Oryctolagus cuniculus: one gene and its partners. The protein of the gene in region 3 binds, or shares a complex with, the protein of the main gene of each other region. Links are inferred from orthologs where the notes say so. Each region holds a gene or a part of one and is shown on either strand. Other genes may lie near its edges. The genes, in order: SMARCC1, SMARCA2, SMARCD2, PBRM1, DPF3 and ARID2.

Region 1 (3,500 bases), on a different chromosome or scaffold from region 3:
GCTGACATTACATTTGGGTCTTTCAGCATTACAAAATCCGGGTTCATTTTCCACCTAAGCTGCTGCCTTTGTATTACTGAGTACACTTCATTCACCTCATGTTTGATAAAGATGAGCGCCTTACCTCTGCGCATAGCTCCTGAATAGTTTTCAGTTGATAAAACCCTAACAGTACTGACTTCAGACTGATTTGTTCACCGCCTGAAGGATATCTAAGCTCCCAGATAAGTTTCTTCCCAAAGTTTGACTTATTGTTGAAATAAGATTTGAGGTTTCAGGATGATCACTAAAGTTAGGTCACCTAAGGAAGATGTTTTAATACCTTTTACACAAATTATTTGACAGTTAAAGATAGTTAAATGGTTATTTTTTTAAAAAGATTTATTTATTTATTTGAAAGTCAGAATTACAGAGAGAGGGAGAGACAGTGGGAGATCTGTCCACTGGTTCTCTCCCCAAATGGCCAGGCCCAAGCCAGTAGCTTCATCTGGGTCTCCGATGTGGGTGGCAGGGGCCCAAGGGCTTGGGCCGTCCTCTGCTGATTTTCCTAGGCTATTAGCAATGAGCTGGATCAGAGTGCAGCAGCTGGGACTTGAACTGGCATCCATATGGGATGCTGGTGCCGCAGATGGTGGCTTAACCCTCTGTGCATAGCACCAACTCTGTAAATATTTTTAAGATTTATTTTTTATTTATTTATTTTTATTTTTTTGACAGGCAGAGTGAACAGTGAGAGAGAGAGAGAGAAAGGTCTTCCTTTAGCCGTTGGTTCACCTTCCAATGGCCGCGCTGATCCAAAGCCAGGAGCCAGGTGCTTATCCTGGTCTCCCATGGGGTACAGGGCCCAAGCACCTGGGCCATCCTCCACTGCACTCCCTGGCCACAGCAGAGAGCTGGCCTGGAAGAGGGGCAACCGGGACAGAATCCGGCTCCCAGACCGGGACTAGAACCCGGTGTGCCGGCGCCGCAAGGCAGAGGATTAGCCTAGTGAGCCGCGGCGCCGGCCAAGATTTATTTATTTGAAAGGCAGAGTGACAGGGAGTGATAGATGTCTTGCATCCACTAGTTAGCTCCTCATATGGCTGCAACAGCCAGATTGGGCCAAGCCGAAGCCTGGAGCCTGGAGCTCCATCTGAATCTTCCAATTACCGGGGCCATCTTTTACTGCTTTCCCAGGCACACTGGCAGGGAGCTGGATCGGAAGTGGGGCAGATGGAATGAAATCCTTTGCTCTCTTATAGGGTGTCAGAATTGTAGGTAGCGGCTTGACCTGCTGAGCCACAACACCAATCCTAGTTATTTTCATAAATCATATCTTTTCTTTCCATTTCCTACAATCTTTTTTTTTCTTAATTTTATTATTTTGTACAGCAGGGAGACAGGAAGAGACAGACAGACACAGGTTGTCCATCTGCTGGTTTACTCCCCAGATGACTGCAACATTTGGGACTGGACCAAGGCTGATGGAAGCCAAGAGCTGGGAACTCAATTTTGAGTCTCCCTTATGGGTAACAGACTCAAACACTTGAGCCTTGTGGTAGAATGTGCATTGTGGTGCAGCGAGTTAAGCTGTGGCTTGGGATGCCAGTGTCCCATTCATATATTCATGCCTGGGATCCAGTCTTGCCTTTGCTTCCATTTTAGCATCCTGTTAATGCACCTGGGAGGCCATAGTTTATGGCTCAAGTACCTAGGTCCCTACCACCTGCATAGGATACCTAGATTAGTTCTTGGCTCCCAGCGTCAGCCCAGTCCAGGCTATTGCAGGCTTTTGAGGAGTGAGCCAGCAGGTGGGAGATCTCTCCCTATCTTTCTTTCTGTCACTATGTCTTTATTTTTCTTTGCCCCCCCCCCTTTTTTTTAGATCGTTATTTATTTGAAAGACAGTTATAGAAAGAGAGGTCTTCCATCTGCTAGTTCACTCACCAAATGGCCCCATTGGGTGGAGCTGGAGTTTCATCCGGTTTTCCCACATGGGCGCAGGGTCCCAAGCTCTTGGGCCATCTTCTGCCGTGTTCCCAGCCGCATTAGTGGGGAGCTGGATAGGAAGTGGAGCAGCAGCTGGGACTCAACGCCCATTTGGGATTCCGGGGCCTAACCTGCTAAGCCACCATACTGGCCCCCACATGAACATTTTTTTCCCGTTTTTTTTTTTTTTTTTAATGTTTTATTGAAATATAGTATATATACCATGAGATGCACTTAAGTATAGCTTTTTTTCATTCTGAATGACAATATTGGGAATGAAACATGTATGTTATAAAGGACCTTAGAATATACACAAAGATACATGTTATTTCAAATTTTTATTTTCATTTTTTATTTGAAAGGCAGAGAGAGCTCTCCCATTTGCTTGTTCACTCCCTAAATGCTGACAAGCCAGGAATTGATTTCAAGTAAGCCACATGGGTAGCAGGTACCCAAGTACTTGAGCTATCATCTTCTGCCCCCTAAGATGTGCGTTAGCAGGAAGCCGGATCAGAGGCCCAGTTGAGACTTGACTCCAGGCACTCTGATGTCAGATGTGGGTATCCCAAGGCACAGTGCCCTTCTCTGTCTACTAAAATTTGAGAACAATGGCTTTAGACTGACAGTTGACATCTTATATGCTCTGTTGTATAAAATTTGTCTTCAGTGTTTGATTCATGTCTGGCATATACTGCTATGTGTCACATGTGTGGGTGTGTGGGTGTTTTTTTATTTTTTTTATTTGACAGGTAGAGTTATAGACAGTGAGAGAGAGAGAGAGGCAGAGAGAAAGGTCTTCCTTCTGTTGGTTCAACCCCCAAATGGGCGCTACAGCCGGAGCTACACTGATCCGAAGCCAGGAGCCAGGTGCTTCTTCTTGGTCTCCCATGAGGGGCAGGGGCCCAAGCACTTGGGCCATCCTGCACTGCCCTCCCGGGCCACAGCAGAGAGCTGGACTAGAAGAGTATCAGCCGGCACTAGAACCCGGTGCCTTTATGGGATGCTGGTGCCACAGGCGGAGGATTAACCGAGCGAGCCTGTGTGGTATTTTTTTAAATAAAAATTTATTTATCTGAAAGGCAGAGGTACTAGATGCCATTCTACTAGAATGGCAGTGCTTAGTAGATACTAGGAAGTAAGCCAGCAGTCTCTCCTGCAACAGTTGTACCACTTTTTAAGTCTGTCTCTTTATTTTGCAGTATGTTCATGCGGATGCTCCTACCAATAAAACACTGGCTGGGCTGGTGGTACAGCTTCTCCAGTTCCAGGAAGATGCCTTTGGGAAGCATGTCACCAACCCGGCCTTCACCAAACTTCCTGTAAGTACATCAATTTATAATAGTACTGGGGCATTTTCAGTTTCTGTGTGCCAGCCTATTGCTATTTTCCTTTGCTATGACTAGTGTATAAATTTTAAAAAAGGGAACCTCAACAGAATTTTAGCTGAGGCTTTTTTGCTGTTTAAAAAAATATATTTTTTAAAAAATTTGAGAGACAGAAACAGACACATGTGACTCCCATCTGCTGAAACT
Region 2 (4,248 bases), on a different chromosome or scaffold from region 3:
AGTCTAAAAGAATAGGCCCCTGATTTAAAATCTCCTAACATTCTTTCACACTTCATAAAACTAAAAATAAAATTGTCTCACCAAACACGGGCCTATTGGGTCCGGCCAAAATACTGTATTTTAAGGAAAACTGGAGCAAGAGGTCTCAAAACCGTGATGAGCCAGCAGATTGCAGTCTGTTGCCTTAATTGGTCTTAAATGTGCGGTGGGAGAAGAGAGACTATGATTCGCAGAGAATACGAGAGATTTATTCCCCTCCTTAAATCAAAAGCAGATTCCACGCCTCCCCCTAGCCCTCCGCCCCGCCGTCCCCCACGGGGTGGTGTGTCCCCACTTTGGGGTGTATTTTACTGGAAGCTGACAGGTGAGGCGAGGGTGAGTGCTGCCTAGCCCGCGGAGCCAACGCTGGGGCCAGAGCGGGCTTATTCACCGGGAAGGCGCTCAGCCTCTCAGCTGTTTCTCCCTCGCTGGCATTTGGAACTTGGTAGTCCTTTAGAGGGACAGATTTGGCAGGAATGCGCTTGGTACCCGCCTCCCTTTATGGGGAGGGAGCAGATTTGTTTTTAATTGCTATAACACCACCTTTATTTATTTAATGTAAAATAAAACTGACCCTTTGTGACCTTTGATGTGGTCTTTGATGTTGTATATTTTAAATAGCACACTTCCAAGTGCGGGTCTGTTGTTGTGAATCAGCAGTCTGCAGCCTGTTTTTTTTTAACTTTTATTTAATGAATATAAATTTCCAAAGTACAGTTTATGGATTACAATGCCCCCCCCCCATAACTGGGGAAGAAGCAGATTTATAATGACAGCTAACCCTTTATGGGAGGGGGGGCTGGGGTCGAAAAAGTTTCAGCCAGCTCCACCATGTCCGTTTCTTCCATGGTCAACATTGTGCCACCGACAGCTCTGGTGCCCCTCGGGGCCTCCCTGCCTCCCCTCCCGCTCCTCTGCAGGCTCGCTCTGGCAGGCGGAGGCACAGTTAAATTCCAGCACCTTCTCCACGGACGGCCCCAACTACTACGCGCTATTACTACGGCTCGCTCTCCCTTTCGCTTCCCCAGCCTCCCCGGAGGAGCCCCGCAGCACCCCTCCGAGGCTGGGCCAAGCTGGGCGAGCCTGCACCGGGCTCCAGCAGGGTTCGGGGCGCTCGGCGTCCTGCACCAGGTCCTCCGCTCCAGGCACAAGCCCGGCCCGCGAGCCGGCGCCTCGCCGACACACACACACACACACACACACACACGCACGGATCCACGCATACAGTAGAGCTGTCTCGCTGCACATTCTTGCACACCGCCCCCTGCTCCCCCCACCGCGCTCCCGGAGTCGCTGAGCAGGCCGAGTGACAGGCGCGTCCCGCCAACCCGCGCCCGGCCGGGCAGGGAGGAGCGGCGCGCGGGGCCAACTGCGGCGCGTCTTCCGGCGCCCGTGGAGGCGGCGAGGGTGGGCCGCGGGGCGGAGCCCGAGTTTAGGAAGAGGAGGGGACGGCTGTCATCAATGAAGTCATATTCATAATCTAGTCCTCTCTCCCTGTGTTTCTGTACTCTGGGTGACTCAGAGAGGGAAGAGATTCAGCCGGCACACTCCTCGCGAGCAAGGTAAATAGAACTTACAACTCCCGTCTCCTCCTCCTCCTCCCTCCGGCCTCCCCGCCGCCGCCGCGCGCGAACCCCTCCGGCACCGCGCCGCCCTCCCCGGCGACTATTCATTATTACCCTAATTATTATTTATTGTGCATGCACGGAGACCAAAACAAACAGGCGGGCCAACCGCCGCAACACACACAAAAAAGCCCGCCTCTTCTCCCCCGCGGGCCTCAGGTGGAAGGCTCGGACGCCAGCTCCCGGGGCGGCTGTGGAAGAGACCAGAAAGTTTCGGCCGAACCTTGCCGTTCTAATAATAACCGTCGTAATGACTGCTTCAGGGGGGCGAGCGGGGCGGAAATCGCAACAGATCACAGCCTTGACCCTGGGTCTGGAGCCAGGGATGCGCTGCCAACTCAAGGTTGCAACACACACGCACACGCACGCACTCGGCCAGGTTGCGGTTCCACCATCCCCTGAAACGTCGGGTGGCGGGGGCTGGGTGGGTGGGTGGTTTGGGGCGGGGGGAGGTGCGACCCTGCATCCCGAGCCGTCTTCCCCGGAAGAGTTGGAAGGGGGACGGGAAAGGAGGGCGGAGGAGCCCGGGCGGGCGGCCGGGGAGCCGAGGAACGCGGCCGCCGCTCGCTTCCCGGGGAATGTTTAAAGGGCTGCGGCTGCGGCGCCGCGAGGGGGGATCGCGCGGAGGAGGCTGCGGCCGCGGCCGCGGGGTTGGTGCGTGCGGCTCGGAGGTGTCACCTCCACTCTCCGCGTCCCCTCGGGCGGGGATGGGGACGCTGACCGTTCAGCAGGCCTTGAGGCAAAGGCGCCGTCCGGAGGGCTTGCACTCGAGGTGCCGCGGGCGTCCTGCCCCCTGGGTACCTGACAGCAGCGCGGGCTCGGGTGCTAAAGTTCGGGTGTCCGGCCCCGGGGCCGCCTGGGCTGGGCGGGCGAAAGGAGGCACCGAAGAAGGAGATCGGAGGTGCCTGCCCGGCTCTGCAACCCTGCCCCCCCCACGCCGCCCGCCCGCCACCCCCACGGGTCTGTTTTCTTTTTGCTCGGCGGCTTCCCCGGGGCTGGCGCTGCGGGAGCCGCGGCCGCGGGGGCGCCGGTGCTCGTCCGGGTCCTAGGGGCGCGCTGGGATCCGGGAGAGCCGCGGCGGCTCCGGGCCGGGAAGGCCGTGATCCGGATAATCCTCTCTGCCTGACTGTCACAAACAGGACCCGCGCGCACCCGGGCAGCGGCGGTGGCGTTCGCCAGGAAAGGGGAAGGGCTGCGGTGGGAAGGGAATGGAGGGGGGTGAGTGACGAGGGCGGGAGGCGGGGAGACCCGGGGAGAGCCTCCTCCCAAGGATGACACGCACCCCTTCCTTCTCGCTCCCTGCGTGCGAGTTTGCCTTGTTCCCATCCCAACCTGGGTCACCCCGCGCCTCTGCGCTGCTCCTCCACCCGGCCGTCTTCCCTCCTCCCGTCTGCGTTGCAAAACACGGCCATGCCATCTGCAAAGGTGTCGCGATGCACTTCCCCAAATAACCAGTCCGGAGCGCCAGCCCCCAGGCGCCTTTCGGCCCCAGGGCGCACGCCGAGCAGTGCCTCGGATGCCCGGCTCCAGGCCTCGCCTCCCGGCCGCAGTCGCGCGGCGCGGGGCGGGGCGGGGCGCAGCAGTGCGGGCTCCGGGGGAGACCCGCGCCCCGGCCGGGGCACTCGCGCCGGTTTCCGGTACACGCGGGGAGATCGCCTCCTGCCAGTATCTGCGCGCTCGCCCCCGCCGCCGCCGCCGCTCGCCTGGATTGCATTATTATTTTTATCCGGGTTGCCGCTCGCTGCGGATGGTGGTGAGCGCGGGGCTTGGCCAGGCTGCTCGCGGGGTGTGGGGGAGGAGGGAAGTTGGACGTGGATCAGGAAGGAAAAAAAAAAGTTTGGCGGGGCTGTGAGTGGGGAGGAGGGCTGGGAGGGGGCGGCGAGCTCCCGCGGCTGGGGCCCGGCGCGAGTGTGTGTGAGTGTGAGTGAGTGAGTGTGTGTGTGTGTTGTGAGCGCCGGGCAGCGCGTCGGGAGCTGCGGCGCGCTCCCCCGGAGCCCGAGGAGGACCAGCGAGGGCTGGTGGCCAGGGCCGGTGGGGGCGGCGTGTTCGAGTGGCTGGGAGTGTGTGTGCGCGCGCGAGCGGCGGAGAATCAGGAAGTCACAGCAGCGAAGCGCACACAGACATGTTTGATCGCCGTGACATGACGCGCGCGAGGGAGGAAGCGGCGGCGGCGGCGGCGGCGGGGGCCGGGCCGCGGGCTCGGGCGCCGGCCTAGGGCTGCGGCTCGGAGGACTCGCTCCCCGCCGCGCTGCGCGCTGCCTCCCCACGCTCCACCGGCGCTGAGCCCCTTTTGTGTTCCGCGTCCCCCAGGTAAGGAGCCTGCGTCGCGGCCGCCGCGGTGTCCCGAGCTTTCCAGCTCTTTGCCTGCCAGCCCCCCTCGGGTCTACGGTCTCGGCTTTCCTGCGAAGTCGGGCTGGCGGGGGAAACGGGTCCTCCGATCGCTGGCGTGGAAAACTTTCCAGTCGGAGGCACCGTGCACGGGGGGAACCGAAGGCCTCGGCGGCCACTGTCGCTTGTCAGGTCCTCGCCCAGGTCCGAGGAGTGTGAGTCGCTGTTGCAGATTCAAACTTCGGGCCTAAATGTG
Region 3 (3,049 bases):
AAGATCCATTCTCGGAAAATGAACCTGACCCGGGGGATCAACCTGAGAAAAATTGCTGAGCTGATGCCAGGAGCGTCAGGGGCTGAAGTTAAGGTGATCAGAGACTCAGGGAAGGAGGGCAGGGTAGAAGTTCTGGGCCCTGGGGCCCAGTGGTAGAGCCTCAGCTCCCTTCCCCTGTTCAGGGTGTGTGCACAGAGGCCGGCATGTATGCCCTGCGGGAACGACGAGTCCATGTCACCCAGGAGGACTTCGAGATGGCAGTTGCCAAGGTAGACGCCTCTGACTTCCTGCATTTGCTATTGATGGCGCTGGAGCAGTGGGCCAGGGCCTGTGCTCATTACCGGATTCTCTCTCTCAGGTCATGCAAAAGGACAGTGAGAAGAACATGTCCATTAAGAAACTATGGAAGTGAGCCCTGCATCCTTGGTGTGGACCCCTCAAATAAAGCTCTGTAGGACAAGCCTCTCCGCTCTGTTCAAATGACCAGGTCTGGGCACCACCAATAAACAAAAGGATTTATTTGGAAATTTCCAAACCTGCCAGAAGTGGCACTTGCCAAACCCTAGGCCCACCCTCCCTACCAAGCTCCAGAGGGCAGCAGAGGGTCCTGGCGGGCCCGCCCCGCCCTCCGGCATCCTAGGAGATGATGGCGGCTGGAGCCGCTTGCATAGATTCAGGAAAGAAAGGAAGGAGGCACCAAACAGGGCTCCCTGAAAAATCCCGACATACGCCTGTACAAAATAAGTGGCTCCCACATAGAAAATCCTGCTCCCAAATAGTGCAAATACCCAAAGGAAAGGAAAAAACCAGCAACACAGCTGGGCTTCTAGGAATGACAAAGAACTTTGGTTTCAGGAGGTTAGGAAGAGTCTGGGCTGCCCCTCATCTTCCTTGCCCAGCTCCCCCAGCCAGCTCTCCCGCTCGCCTGGGGAGGGGCCTGTAAACATGCAAACCCAGCGCCTTTGGTTCCAAAACAAAGCACAGCCTCCAGGCCTGCCTGCAGGGGGCAGAGGAGACATCCTGCGAACCCAATTAAAGCCAACATGGAAAGTAAGGAATAAGGCTTTGGGAACCAAGCAACAAGGAATCCTACCACTACATTTATGAAACTAAAGTTGGGGAGTAGAGTGACAGACAGCCCTCGCCCCCCAGCCAGGCCCCGGTGGATGGTCCCCTACTAGGCTCCCGGGGGGAAGAAGGAAGCGATCCCTGAGCAGTTTAGGTCAAGCGGATTCCCAGCACCTGTTCCAGTTCCTGCCGCCGCTGCTGCACCTAGAGGAGGAGGAGACCATGCTCAGGCCCCTGCTGTTCACAGCCGAGAAGGGCAAACAGGCAGTGCCTCACCTTGGCAAAGATGTGCCTCCCCACTGCTTCCTGGGCCCAGGGCTGGTGGTAGAAAGCAGCTCGCCTCTCCTCCTCGGGATTGCCAATCACATCAGTGATGATCTGCCGAGAGCCAGGAGGAAAGCAATGACATTGGTCTGATTGCCCCTGGAACTGGGGGGTGGGGGTGGGGGGGACCATCATGGGGGCTTCCCCTTCAGGAAGGAGGACTACACCTTGAGGTCCCGGCGCTGGGAACGGAGCCACTCCTGGATGAAGTCCTGGGGGTCGGTGCTAAAGCTGAGCATGAAGTCCCTCTGGGTTTTCAGCTGGTTGATGGACTCAATGGTCTCATGGATCTGGGAAAAGGGGTGCATGTGTCAGACTGGCCCTCAGCTTTGGGGGTCTGTTCCCAGGCCTAAAGTTGAAGGGCGGCACCAGAGAGCCCATCCTGCAGGTGCTGCAGGCACAGAGGCCAACAGCTGCCTGCCTGCACCTGAGCCACACAAGCTTGTGGAGGCGGAGGGCCCACCTTGACATCAAGGGATGCGATTTCCTGCTGATTGGTGGTAGAAGCCAGAAAATTGCTCATCTGGGCTTTCAGTGGGTCGTCCACTTCCACATCTATGTCATAACAGGCCGTCTTCTTCTGGTCATTAGGGTCCACACTGAGAGCACACAAAGGGAGGGGGTGTCTGTGCTGTCCCCCTGGGCCACACCAGTCTATACACACACTTGGGGAGCAGGAAACCAACCCGTAGCGTCTGTGGCTTCAGATGAAAGCAGAGGTGAATCTGCTTCCCATCCCCCTCCTTCCAGTTACCTAATGACGTGGTTGATAACAATGGGATCTGGATGCTGCAGCAGCCCAGCCAACTTCATGGGAATCTCAGAGAAACGGAGTCGGCCACAACTGAAGATCTGGAGAGGGGGAGAGAGTCCCGAAGACTTGGTGATACCTGAGGGTTTGACGGGTTCTAGGACCACTGGGCTGCAGGGCAGCAGCCTCCGGGCAGGGGCTGAGAACAGGATGGCAGCATCCGGCTAACCTGGCGGAAGTAACGGTTGCAGTTGATGTACTCGCGCTCGTGCCCATCCTGCAGCTGGTTGTGTTTGATGTAAAGCCACAGGGCCTGCATGATGGCAGCCCTGGTCTGCGTGTGCACTCCTAGCAGCCTTGCCAGTCGGGGGTCCAATTTGTACTGGGGAGGCTGGAGAAGAGGGAGGGAGGGGGTGGTTCTTGTAACAGGGCAGGGACAAGAAGGGCTCAGAAGCGCCTGCTCCCCTCCCATGCCAGTCCCCAAGGCCCAGCCATACTCCGGGCTTCTGTCACCTGATGATCCAGCATGAGCAGGAGGGTGCACTTCACATTGAGGTCTCCAGGCCGTTTCACCTGGAAGCCATCTGTCTCCTGGGTGGTGGGCATCCGGTGCCACTGGCAGGGAGGAGGGAAGCGGCTGAGCATAAGGGGTGACCATGAATAAACTCCTGGTCCTCCAAAGGCACCGAGGCCATTTCCCTGCTGGCGTGCCAGCCCCAGGCTCCTTCTCACCTCCACCAGGTGGTTGTCAGGCCCGTACAGCTCCTTGTCCAACTCGATGACGAGGCTCTTAAAGAATGAAGAGAACTTCCTCTTCTGTTTGCTAGGCTGGGCATGGAAGAGAGCGTGAGGGCGTGCTGCTGGGTTCTCTGACAAACTATGCTAAGTGCACAAGGAGGAGCAGTT
Region 4 (4,061 bases), on a different chromosome or scaffold from region 3:
CGAATCTATGATGACAAGACATTTAATCAGTTTACAAAAAATACCTTTCTACTTTAACACAATTCAAGTAAGAGACCAATATGCATACAACCTAGTCATGCCTGTAAATGCCCCAAGAAAAACGGATCTTTAATGGGAGTCACAGACAGCAAAATATATACTTAAAAAAACAGCAACAGAACGACACTAGGAGGCTCTCCTTGCAGAGATGACTACGTGGAAGTTCCCAGGCTTCCGTACACCAAACACTGCGCCCTCCCAAAGCTGCACTCCTGATCACTGAGAGCTTGTGCTGTGCTTGGTCAGTCCATCCTGTTCCACCTCCCGAAGACTCCATCTTTACTCCAGACTTCTCGATGAGGGAGAGCCAGGGCATTAGTCGGCTTAACAGCCTTTTTCAGTACAGCTCTCCCAAGCGCAACACTTACCTTTTTCTGGATTTTATACCGCTTGTGACAGGTCATACGTTTACTTGCTTTCTTTAACTCTACAAAGAAACACATAACACACGGCCTGGTTTAGTTTTCCGTGAGTGAACTAGAGTCACACCCTTGTGTATTATGTCAAATCTAACGTTAAGAATCATGTGGGGCGCTGAATAAAAACACAGATGCTACTCTCAAATCCCAGATCCGGAACGGAGCCCCAAATCCCTGCTGTTTCCGTGTTAGACGGAAATCACATAGAGCAGTATACGAGTCCCAAAACGACTGCCACTTCGTGTAAGCTCCACGGATCATAAAGCAGGAGAGCAACAGTGGGTTTGGGAAGCGGCTCCCCGGCTCAGCGAGCCCGCCCGCACGCGGCCTGCCACCTGGCTCGGTCGCGGTCTCCTGACAATATGGCGTGATCTTCTCCACCCTCGGCCCGGGCTTAACAGGATGGACACGAGGCCGCCCAACGCTCGGTTATACCGGGAGCAGGGCAACGGCCCACCAGCAGGCCCCAACCTCCCAGAGACCAACGCCCTGGTGCGTTCAGGAACCACCAGAAAAAGAGGCGCCTGCAAGCCCGTTTGCCGATCCCACTCACTGGGCCGCTTCATGCTGGCTGCGGAAACCGCGGCGGCAGAGAACGAAGCAGCAGCAACCTTCCTCGGCGAGCGCCACGTGTGAACTGAGGCCACGAACCAGCGTCACGCAGTCACGTTACCGTCGTAAAGCGCGCCTTCTCTCCTCCGCGTGCGCGCGCACGCAGTGTCGCGCGGAGCCAGGCTCGCTTGGCGGCAGCAAGGCTGGTTTTGCGGCGGCTCTGGGAGGGGTGAGGGCGGTGAGGGCGGCGGGTGCCGGAGCGACGGCAGCGGCCGCGGCCGGAGGAGCAATAGCAGCAGCCGTGGCGGCCACGGGGCGTGGCGTGGCGGTCGGCGACCGCGGCCGGGGCTGCAGACGGCGGAGCGGCTGGGTAAGACCGGGCCCGGGGCGGGCGGGGCCGCTCCCCTTCGGCCGGCCGCCGGGCCTTTGTGTGGGCCCGGGCGGGCGGGCGGGAGCCGCGGCGGAGGCCCCGCCCCGGCCGTGGGGACGCGCCGGTCGGGCCGGGCGCGCGGGCGGGGCGGGGCGCGGCGGCGGGCCTCGGGACGGGCCCCGCAGCCTCGCCGCACCTGCCGGCCGGGACAAAGGCGCGTTGCGGCCCGGAAACTCCGCGCGCCGCTTTCCCGCTCGTCGCCCGGCAGCTTCAAAGCTGTCAACGTTTCCCTTAGTCCCCTACCAGTGACAGGTCGGCCAGGTCCTCCGTTTGCGCCGCCGCTTAGGGCCTGTTTTTGTTGTTGTTTGTTGAGGGCTCAACAGCAAACTCTGCTTAGGAGACGCGTTTTATCTTTCTGGGCGACGGTTCAGACCGAGTATTTTTGTGACTGCGACTTGTATTTGAGAGTAGGGGCTAAACATCAAGTGTTTCAGCTTCTCATTCGCTGCACTACAAAGAATCGCGGTTTGAAAACAGCCTGTTGTTGTTTTTTAAACAATATTTTTCCATCAAAGTTTTTTACGTTCTGAAAGGGAAGCATAGTTTGGTTATTAGAAGGAATAAGAGTCGATGTGCAGAGGAACAAAGAGCGGCAAAGACAGGGAAGAATCCTGGAAAACCAATGGCAAATACGCGGTGGAGTGGCATATGCTGGAGTAAAACGTGTTCCTTTCCTCCACACTGGGACTCCAAATGGTTTTCGGTCTTGGAGTTTTTCCATTCGTTACTGCGCTTTCCCCCGAATCTGGGAAGCAGGCTGTACTCAATGCCAGTATAAAAGAATAGTAAATCTTTGCTTTTGTTCTTTGTTAGCGAATTGCCCGTCTGGATTTTAAGATCCAGAGTGGAAGGTTGGAAAGTACCTCTTGAAGAGGTGTTTGAGATTAAAACTGAAACAAATATGTGTCTGGAGAAATGGAAGGAGTTTGACCATTTTCTTTGACTTTGGGAGTGTACAAAGCACTTCAAATATTAATATTCTGCCAAAATTCCCTGGATAAATAAATTTTATATCTTTGTGATAGACTGCTCTCAAAACATCAAACATCATGAGGAAGAACGCTAGCTTGGGAGAATCTTCCCTAACTTAAAACAGAGGCCATGAAATAATAATAATAATAATAATAATAATAATAATAATAGAGTTTGTTAACACTTTTGTTTAAAAGAAATTAGGCTATTAAAGCATAGATGAATGCCAAAAGCTCTGAGCACAAAATTTGAGTAGTTTTTCTTTGGGAAGTAGGATTATGGGTGCTATTTTTTTTTTTTTTTAAGTTTTGATTTGAGTCTTAGGTTTCCTGGTATTTTTTCTAAAGCTTGTATGTATTACAGAACTAAATACCATTAAAAAATAGGAAAGTACTAAAAGTTTATAGACTGTCACAATATACCATGTGGCTATATAGAGTAAATATTCTCCCAGTTGTACATTATAAAGTATTATTTACTATCCATGGTAAATTCTCATTGGCAGTCAGACTTGTTGACTTGTGACTACAGTCAAGGCCCTTTTAAAGCCTGGAATTGAACTCCAGAATCTCTTCGTGGAATAAAATTGCTGAAGGGTGCTTTCAGGCCTTTAAATTATGCAAATGACCTTTTTTTTAAAGACCCTGTTTTTGTGCACTTTCAGTACATTTATTAACAACAGTTGAGCACCCATCCTATAGGAAATATTAGTCTGTAAGGGCTGCAGAATTGAGTAAGATGCTGTTCCTGTGTCCAGGAAGCATGTGGTGCTAGAGTTGGGGTCTCCTTTCCCTGTCTCAGCAATCCAAGGGCTCTGTGCACGTTTTACTGTTCTCACTTAGAGATGAGGAAACAGACCTGAGAGGTTATGACTCAGGCAACATCAAACAGATAATTAGAGGTGAAAGACCTGGGACTCCTGTTCTGGTTTTGAGTGGACGTTCCTTGTGCCTTGCAAGATTGCCTTTCTTGCCAAACTTCCAAATTACATTTTTAAACTATGTCCTTTGGATAAGAAAATATTTGAAAGTTATCATTGGATTGCATCTTTTTCTTATTCAGGATTTGGGGTATTGTATCTAAACTAGGTACTCACACTGGTAATTTATATTTTTGTCATTTGGTTTTCAGTTTGTTTGCAAAAGTAATTTCGAACTGCAAAAATCGTTGAAGGCATTTTTTTTTAACCTTGCTAAATTTATATGCTGTGTCTTTGCAGTGCAAATAGGACTTTTGGAAAGAAATGTCTGTCTCTGAATTTTGGGGTTGGGGGAGGAGTTTTCCGAACTTGTTGCTCACATGAGCCATTCTCGGTTTGTTCCAGCTTGCCAACACTTGGTGTCACATGTGAGCCTCCCACATGTGTTCACTCTCCATTCCAGCTCTGTGATTGAACTCTGCTCTTATTGACTAGGGGGCAGTGGGCAGGCATGCTTCATTCCTGGAATTGACAGTCATTCCATGTGAGTAAAGGGGACCCTCAGTGAGACGTTTAAGTGTACGAAAGCACTCCGTGTTAAAATGGAAGAAATGTCAAGTACTGTTAGTGAGTCTTTGTAGCAGTGTGTTTTGATAGGTACAAGAGAACTGATAGGCCTGTTTTCTCCAGTTCTCTTATCTTTCTGTAG
Region 5 (3,500 bases), on a different chromosome or scaffold from region 3:
GCTGAGGGGCAGAGGTCTGGTGACAAGGCCTCTCGCCCAGATCTGCGTGCAGATTTCCAGCCTGGGACCCACACCACAGAGGGACAGGGGAGGGCTGCTCTCCACGGGCCTGGCCTTCTCTTGGGGACACATATGCAGGATGCCTCCGGAATTCGGTGTCCCACCCAGGCCTAGTGACATTCCTTGGAACCCGCGCCAGGACCACGTGCAGCCCCCATCCCACCCGGTGGGTTCCCCAGCCCTGTCCTCCCGGCTCCAGCCAGGCGGCCGCACACCCAGGGGCGGCGCGGCTCACCTGGCCCTCGGTGCCGTTTCTCCATCCAGATGTAGCAGTTGTTCTGGGCCACCCCGGTCTGCGAGTCCAGGAAGGGGAGGCGCACGCTGCGCTCCGCGCACAGGCGCGAGTTGTAGCTCCGGCAGTGCTCGATGGCTTCCTTGTAGAACTGGTCCCCGAGCCTGCGGGAGACAGGGACGGAAGGCATGAGGCCGGGGGAACCCGAAACAGCCCCAGAGGCAACCCGACGCCCCCGCATCCATCTCCCGGGAAGAATCTGTGCGGTTATGAGGATCAAGACGAAGCGCACGGAGCGCAGTGCCAGGAGCGCCTCCGCCAGGTTCTATTTCCAACCCCAAACCCACCGGCAACCCGAAGCTCCATCAACAGACAGCCTGGAGCGCAGCGAATGAGCCACCAGGAACAGTGACGAGGCCGCGCCGTAGAAAGCATGTGGCCTCTCTCCGGAACAACATGCCGCGTGGGGTCTGCTTCTAGAATCCCCCTCCCAGCCGTCGTGACCCACGCCCTGTGCTCTGCAGTCACAGGCAGACGCTCCAGAGGAACCCAAGCTCCCAGCCAAGCTACCCGGATTCCTGCCACTGCGGGAGAGAAACACTCTGACCAGAGGCTGCAACTCGCCGCAACGCAGAGCGATTCACAGGGGAACCGGGGCAGACAGGGACAGACACCCACACTTTGAAACCACATCCTTCAAGAAAAATGACTTTCTCTGATGGGAAGCAAACAAAAGCAGCATTCAAAATAATAGTTGAGCTCAGAATCATTCAACTCTTGGGAGTTTAAAACACAAGTAGCGAGACCTGTTTTGCTGGAGTGTGGATCTGATTAAGCCCAGGAAATTCTACATTTTCAAGTCTCTGGGATCCACAGACATACGGTGATGCTAATGTTAAGAAGGTGTCCTTTTGAAGACCAAAAACATGCCATTGACTTAACTAATCTAATGTAAAGCACAAAAATAATCAACGAGATCAAATGCCTAATAAATAAAGCAGAGGCACGTGGTGGAGGGTAATAAATGGCTTAAGGAAATAGAAATATAATAACATAACTTCCAGTGCTGTGGCTTGTAGGCTAAGCCTTTGCCTGTGCCATCAGCATCCCATATAGGTGCCAGTTTGAGGCACAGCTGCTTCACTTCCCAGCCGGCTCTCTGCTATGGCCTGGAAAAGCAGTAGAAGATGCCCCAAGTCCTTGGGCCCCTGCACCTACATGGGAGGCAAGGAAGAAGCACCTGGCTCCTGGCTTTAGATCAGCACAGCTCTGGCTGTTGAGGCCATCTGGGGAGTGAACCAGCAGATGGAAGACCTCTCTCTCTCTCCCTCTCTCTGCCTGTAAATCTCTCTCTCAAATTAGTAAATAAAATCTTTTTTTTAAAAAAAAGAAAGGTGTGAAATTAATAAATTTTTTAAAAAAATAACATCTGCCAGGTAAATTTGAACTTCTTGGGGAGGGGAGGGAGGTGAGAAGGGGAGGAGACACAGGAACTGGAGGTGCAAAGGAGAATCAGGTCGCTCATTCTGAACCAGCATTGCGAGTCCTTTTTGGCTCTATTGTAGATTTGAGAAAGTCAAAATCTAGGAGAGAAAATCTCTGGGTTAAAAATCTGGTTTTTCGGCCGGCGCCGCGGCTCACTAGGCTAATCCTCCGCCTAGCGGCGCCGGCACACCGGGTTCTAGTCCCGGTTGGGGCGCCGGATTCTGTCCCGGTTGCCCCTCTTCCAGGCCAGCTCTCTGCTGTGGCCAGGGAGTGCAGTGGAGGATGGCCCAGGTGCTTGGGCCCTGCACCCCATGGGAGACCAGGAAAAGCACCTGGCTCCTGGCTCCTGCCATTGGATCAGCGCGGCGCGCCGGCCGCAGCGCACCGGCCGCGGCGGCCATTGGAGGGTGAACCAACGGCAAAGGAAGACCTTTCTCTCTGTCTCTCTCTCTCACTGTCCACTCTGCCTGTCAAAAAATAAAAATTAAAAAAAAATCTGGTTTTTCTTAACCAAAATATAATAAAGAAAGCCAAGTTGGGCTTTTACAATTCTTTTTTAAAAACAGACATAAAATTGATCATCTTAATCATTTCTAAGTATACAGTTCAGTGGTATTAAGTACCTTCACGTGGTTGCACAACCATCACCACCATCCAGCTCTAGAACTCTTCATTGTGCAAGTGAAACTCTACCGCTTAAACACTAACTCCTTATTCCACCTTCTCCCCAACCCTGGCAAACAACACTCGACTTTCCCTGCCTTTGATTTCAGTTCATCTAAGCACCTTACTTTTTAAAGTTAGATAATATTCCATTGTCTGTATAAACCACATTTTGCTTATTCATTCTTCTATCCATGGTTGCTTCCACGTTTGAGCTATTGGGAATAATGGTGCCATGGACTCTGGGCATATAAGTACTTGTTCAAGTCCCTGCTTTTAATTATTTCGGGCACACACCCAGGAGTGGGATTGCTGGATCATACGGTAGTCCCATTTTCAATCTGTCAAGCAACCACTCATATGATTGTCCTTAGTGGCTATCTCATTTCACATTCCCACCCACAGTGCACCAGGCTTCCAGTTACCCCATCTTCACCACTACTTGTTAGAAAGCAAAGTTCTAAATGAAGTTTTCTATACTGTTTTTAGAAAATCAATGGGTCAGATTCTATCAAAGAGTTCCAAGCAAACATCTTACTCTGGGAGAATACAACTAATCAACTTTTTGACAAGCATCTGGAAAAAAAGAAAGCTTTGGTTTTTTTCACCCCCTGAAGATCCTCGTACTCCCAAGGAAGGCATAGCATGCTCAGAAACTGTGCCGGTAGTTGCAAAATCAAAAAAATAATCAAATTAGAATAGTCACACAGCTGGAAATAAATTTGGGAGGGGAGGGTGAAAGCCCATTAAAATGCTATAAAACTGAATGGCACATAAGCTGATGTAATCAAAGTTGGTGACAAGGATCACCAGATTGATCAAGAATAATAATTTCCTAGAAAATGTGCATCTGTGTCACACCAGCTTAAATGCCTCCTCAACCCAGCTGATGTAGCACAGTGGGACAAAACTTACAACAGCTCAGCCCAGGCCGATGGCCCACCCTGTTCAGGGTGACCTGACTGTTCCAGCTCCCCTCCAGGAATCATGCTGACCACACTGGCCATGCCACAATGTCAGCCACACCACACTGATGAGAACTTGCAGAACTCCTGATGGA
Region 6 (3,500 bases), on a different chromosome or scaffold from region 3:
CCTCCCACTCCCCGTGCAGATGTACTACCAGCAGCAGCCAGCGGCGACGCCTGTGGTTCGTGTCGATTCTCTTCCTGACGGGTCTCCAGCTCCTCCACCTGCAGGTAATAATTTCTATTGTGTTTTAAGCGTTGTATTATGTAAATTTAAAGTGTACAGCTTTTCCTTGTTTTTCTGGTAGTGCTTTCTTACTTGAGCTGTTATTTTCTCATAATCATATGATTTGAAGTTGCTGAATATTAATTTTTTAACGGTATTTTTTTGCATTAAGTAAAGTAAGTCCTAATTGCAGACTTCCAGTGCATTTCATTTGAATTTTGGCTTTTTTCCCCCTGTTTTCAGGAATCCCTCATGGATCACAAGCTGTAGGAAACCATTATCAGAGGACTCCTGTTACCAACCAGTCTTCAAGCTTGACTGCAACACAAATGTCTTTTCCAGTACAAGGTGTTCATACTGTGGCTCAGACTGTTTCAAGAATTCCACCAAATCCTTCAGTTCATACCCACCAGCAGCAGAATGCTCCAGTGACTGTCATTCAAAATAAAGCTCCAATTTCTTGTGAAGTTGTTAAGGCGACAGTAATCCAGAACTCTGTGCCCCAGACAGCAGTTCCTGTTAGCCTTGCTGTGGGAGGAGGGCCTCCCCAGACTTCTGTGGTGCAGAATCCTAGTGCAGGGCCACAACCTGTTACCGTTGTGAACTCCCAGACTTTGCTACACCACCCATCTGTAATCCCACAGCCGTCTGCATTACACACAGTGGTACCAGGACAGATAGCTTCAGGCACCCCTGTTACAGTAATTCAGCAAGCGGTCCCACAGAGTCATATATTTGGCAGAGTACAGAATATACCAGCATGCACTTCTGCAGTTTCACAGGGTCAGCAGCTAATCACCACCTCACCCCAGCCTGTGCAGACTTCATCTCAGCCGACGTCAGCTGGTAGCCAGCCACAGGACACTGTCATCATAGCACCCCCACCATATGTAACAACCTCTGCATCCAATATTGTCTCAGCAACTTCAGTGCAGAATTTTCAGGTAGCTGCAGGACAAATGGTTACTATTGCTGGTGTCCCAAGTCCGCAGCCCTCCAGGGTAGGGTTTCAGAACATTGCACCAAAGCCTCTCCCTTCTCAGCAAGTTTCATCAACAGTGGTCCAGCAGCCTATTCAACAGCCACAGCAGCCAGCCCAACAAAGTGTAGTGATTGTAAGTCAGCCAGCTCAACAAGGTCCAACGTATGCACCAGCCATTCACCAGATTGTTCTTGCTAATCCAACAGCTCTTCCGGCTGGTCAGGCAGTTCAGCTAACTGGACAACCAAACATAACTCCATCTTCTTCACCATCACCTGTCCCATCTACTAATAACCAGGTCCCTACTGCCCTGTCATCATCTTCCACCCCTCAGTCACAGGGACCACCCCCTACTGTCAGTCAAATGCTGTCTGTCAAAAGGCAGCAACAGCAGCAGCATTCACCAGCACCCCCACCACAGCAGGTACAAGTACAAGTTCAGCAGCCACAAGTCCAGATGCAAGTTCAACCTCAGCAAGCAAACGCAGGAGTTGGGCAGCCTGCTTCTGGTGAGTCGAGTCTGATAAAACAGCTGCTGCTCCCAAAGCGTGGTCCTTCAACACCAGGTGGTAAGCTTATCCTCCCAGCTCCACAGATTCCTCCCCCTAACAATGCAAGAGCGCCTAGCCCTCAGGTGGTCTATCAGGTGGCCAATAACCAACCAGCAGGCTTTGGAGTGCAGGGGCAAACTCCAGCTCAGCAGCTGTTGGTTGGGCAGCAAAATGTTCAGTTGGTCCAAAGTGCAATGCCACCCACAGGGGGAGTGCAGACTGTGCCCATCTCGAACTTACAGATATTACCAGGCCCGCTGATCTCGAACAGCCCCGCAACCATTTTTCAAGGGACATCTGGCAACCAGGTAACCATAACAGTTGTGCCAAATACGAGTTTTGCAACTGCAACTGTGAGTCAGGGAAATGCAGCTCAGCTCATCGCTCCCGCAGGAATCACCGTGAGTGGCACGCAGGCAGGAGTTGGGCTTCAGGTGCAAACGCTTCCGGCCACGCAGGCATCTCCAGCCGGACAATCATCATGTACTACTGCTACTCCCCCATTCAGAGGTGACAAAATAATTTGCCAAAAGGAGGAGGAAGCAAAGGAAGCAACAGGTTTACATGTTCATGAACGTAAAATTGAAGTCATGGAGAACCCGTCCTGCCGACGAGGAACTACAAACACCAGCAATGGGGATACAAAGGAAAGTGACATACAGGTGGGAAGTCTTTTAAATGGGAGAAAGTACAGTGACTCAAGTCTACCTCCTTCAAACTCAGGGAAAATTCAGAGTGAGGCCAGTCCATGCTCACTCTTTAGTAATGGGCCATCGACAGATTTCGGTGAGAATGGAGCATCTGGAAAACAGAACTCAGAACAGATGGACGTGCAGGATATCAAAAGTGATTTGAAGAAACCCCTGGTTAATGGAATCTGTGATTTTGATAAAGGAGATGGTTCTCATTTAAGCAAAAACATTCCAAATCACAAAACTTCCAATCATGTAGGAAATGGTGAGATATCTCCAATGGAACCACAAGGGACTTTAGATGCCACTCAGCAAGATACTGCCAAAGGTGATCAATTAGAAAGGATTTCTAATGGACCTGTATTAACTTTGGGTGGTTCACCATCTGGAAGCAGCATACAGGAGGCTTCAGCCCTGGCAGCACAGCAGTCTAGTGGTACTGATTTGCCCAATGGACCTCTAGCTTCAAGTTTGAATTCAGATGTGCCTCAGCAACGCCCAAGTGTAGTTGTCTCACCACATTCTACAACCTCTGTTATACAGGGGCATCAGATCCTAACAGTTCCTCACTCAGGACCCCGAGTGTCCCATTCTGCCCTGTCATCTGACGTTCGGTCTGCAAATGGCACAGCAGAGTGCAAAACTGTCAAGCGGCCAGCAGAGGACAGTGACAGGGAGACAGTCCCAGGAATTCCCAGTAAAGTCGGAGTTCGGATTGTTACAATCAGTGACCCCAACAACGCTGGCTGCAGTGCCACAATGGTTGCTGTGCCAGCAGGAGCAGATCCAAGCACTGTAGCTAAAGTAGCAATAGAAAGTGCTGCGCAGCAGAAGCAGCAGCATCCACCAACGTATGCACAGAATGTGGTCCCGCAGGTGAGTCACCGCACCACGGTGTGCCTCTTACCCACTGTTCTCGGTCGCTGATGCAGCCTGGAGGTGATGCTGTGGTCGCTCGCTCACACTCGGGCAGGCCTATGCTTTTTCTCCGGCTGTAATAGGACACTTTTCAGTTGTTAACCATGACACATGGTTGGATCTTTGAGGTTTTTTTGTGACCCAAATTAGTAATCTCAAGGTAGAGAACATCTACCTAACATCATTTGGAGAATTTAGAAAATTCTGAGCCTCTGTCTTTTTTGAGTGCTTCTATGTTTGATTTACACACACATGTTT

What was found.
Region 1: SMARCD2 (region 3) and SMARCC1 share a complex: the UniProt entries of both Homo sapiens proteins name them as parts of the BAF complex. The link is inferred for Oryctolagus cuniculus from reciprocal best matches to the Homo sapiens genes SMARCD2 and SMARCC1.
Region 2: SMARCD2 (region 3) and SMARCA2 share a complex: the UniProt entries of both Homo sapiens proteins name them as parts of the BAF complex. The link is inferred for Oryctolagus cuniculus from reciprocal best matches to the Homo sapiens genes SMARCD2 and SMARCA2.
Region 4: SMARCD2 (region 3) and PBRM1 share a complex: the UniProt entries of both Homo sapiens proteins name them as parts of the SWI/SNF-B (PBAF) chromatin remodeling complex. The link is inferred for Oryctolagus cuniculus from reciprocal best matches to the Homo sapiens genes SMARCD2 and PBRM1.
Region 5: SMARCD2 (region 3) and DPF3 share a complex: the UniProt entries of both Homo sapiens proteins name them as parts of the BAF complex. The link is inferred for Oryctolagus cuniculus from reciprocal best matches to the Homo sapiens genes SMARCD2 and DPF3.
Region 6: SMARCD2 (region 3) and ARID2 share a complex: the UniProt entries of both Homo sapiens proteins name them as parts of the SWI/SNF-B (PBAF) chromatin remodeling complex. The link is inferred for Oryctolagus cuniculus from reciprocal best matches to the Homo sapiens genes SMARCD2 and ARID2.

What each region holds. Positions count from the first base shown.
Region 1 is NC_091441.1:101,101,500-101,104,999, forward strand, and holds part of SMARCC1 (SWI/SNF complex subunit SMARCC1), read left to right. Parts: intron 1-3,167; coding exon 3,168-3,287; intron 3,288-3,500. UniProt on the Homo sapiens protein: Involved in transcriptional activation and repression of select genes by chromatin remodeling (alteration of DNA-nucleosome topology).
Region 2 is NC_091432.1:164,159,869-164,164,116, forward strand, and holds the start of SMARCA2 (probable global transcription activator SNF2L2), read left to right. Parts: upstream 1-1,448; 5' UTR 1,449-1,601; intron 1,602-3,278; exon of another isoform or gene 3,279-3,417; intron 3,418-3,834; exon of another isoform or gene 3,835-3,974; intron 3,975-4,248. UniProt on the Homo sapiens protein: ATPase involved in transcriptional activation and repression of select genes by chromatin remodeling (alteration of DNA-nucleosome topology).
Region 3 is NC_091448.1:14,883,575-14,886,623, reverse strand, and holds the end of SMARCD2 (SWI/SNF-related matrix-associated actin-dependent regulator of chromatin subfamily D member 2), read right to left. Parts: intron 2,972-3,049; coding exon 2,876-2,971; intron 2,759-2,875; coding exon 2,657-2,758; intron 2,535-2,656; coding exon 2,373-2,534; intron 2,245-2,372; coding exon 2,147-2,244; intron 1,992-2,146; coding exon 1,856-1,991; intron 1,683-1,855; coding exon 1,560-1,682; intron 1,447-1,559; coding exon 1,345-1,446; intron 1,273-1,344; coding exon 1,219-1,272; 3' UTR 501-1,218; downstream 1-500. Other genes in the region: PSMC5 (26S proteasome regulatory subunit 8), read left to right, coding at 1-93, 183-269, 359-412. UniProt on the Homo sapiens protein: Involved in transcriptional activation and repression of select genes by chromatin remodeling (alteration of DNA-nucleosome topology).
Region 4 is NC_091441.1:97,043,352-97,047,412, forward strand, and holds the start of PBRM1 (protein polybromo-1), read left to right. Parts: upstream 1-1,261; 5' UTR 1,262-1,401; intron 1,402-1,575; exon of another isoform or gene 1,576-1,713; intron 1,714-3,757; 5' UTR 3,758-3,896; intron 3,897-4,061. Other genes in the region: GNL3 (guanine nucleotide-binding protein-like 3), read right to left, coding at 1-5, 429-487, 1,033-1,045. UniProt on the Homo sapiens protein: Involved in transcriptional activation and repression of select genes by chromatin remodeling (alteration of DNA-nucleosome topology). Required for the stability of the SWI/SNF chromatin remodeling complex SWI/SNF-B (PBAF).
Region 5 is NC_091451.1:18,897,046-18,900,545, forward strand, and holds part of DPF3 (zinc finger protein DPF3), read right to left. Parts: intron 457-3,500; coding exon 296-456; intron 1-295. UniProt on the Homo sapiens protein: Belongs to the neuron-specific chromatin remodeling complex (nBAF complex).
Region 6 is NC_091440.1:136,620,721-136,624,220, forward strand, and holds part of ARID2 (AT-rich interactive domain-containing protein 2), read left to right. Parts: coding exon 1-104; intron 105-342; coding exon 343-3,200; intron 3,201-3,500. UniProt on the Homo sapiens protein: Involved in transcriptional activation and repression of select genes by chromatin remodeling (alteration of DNA-nucleosome topology). Required for the stability of the SWI/SNF chromatin remodeling complex SWI/SNF-B (PBAF).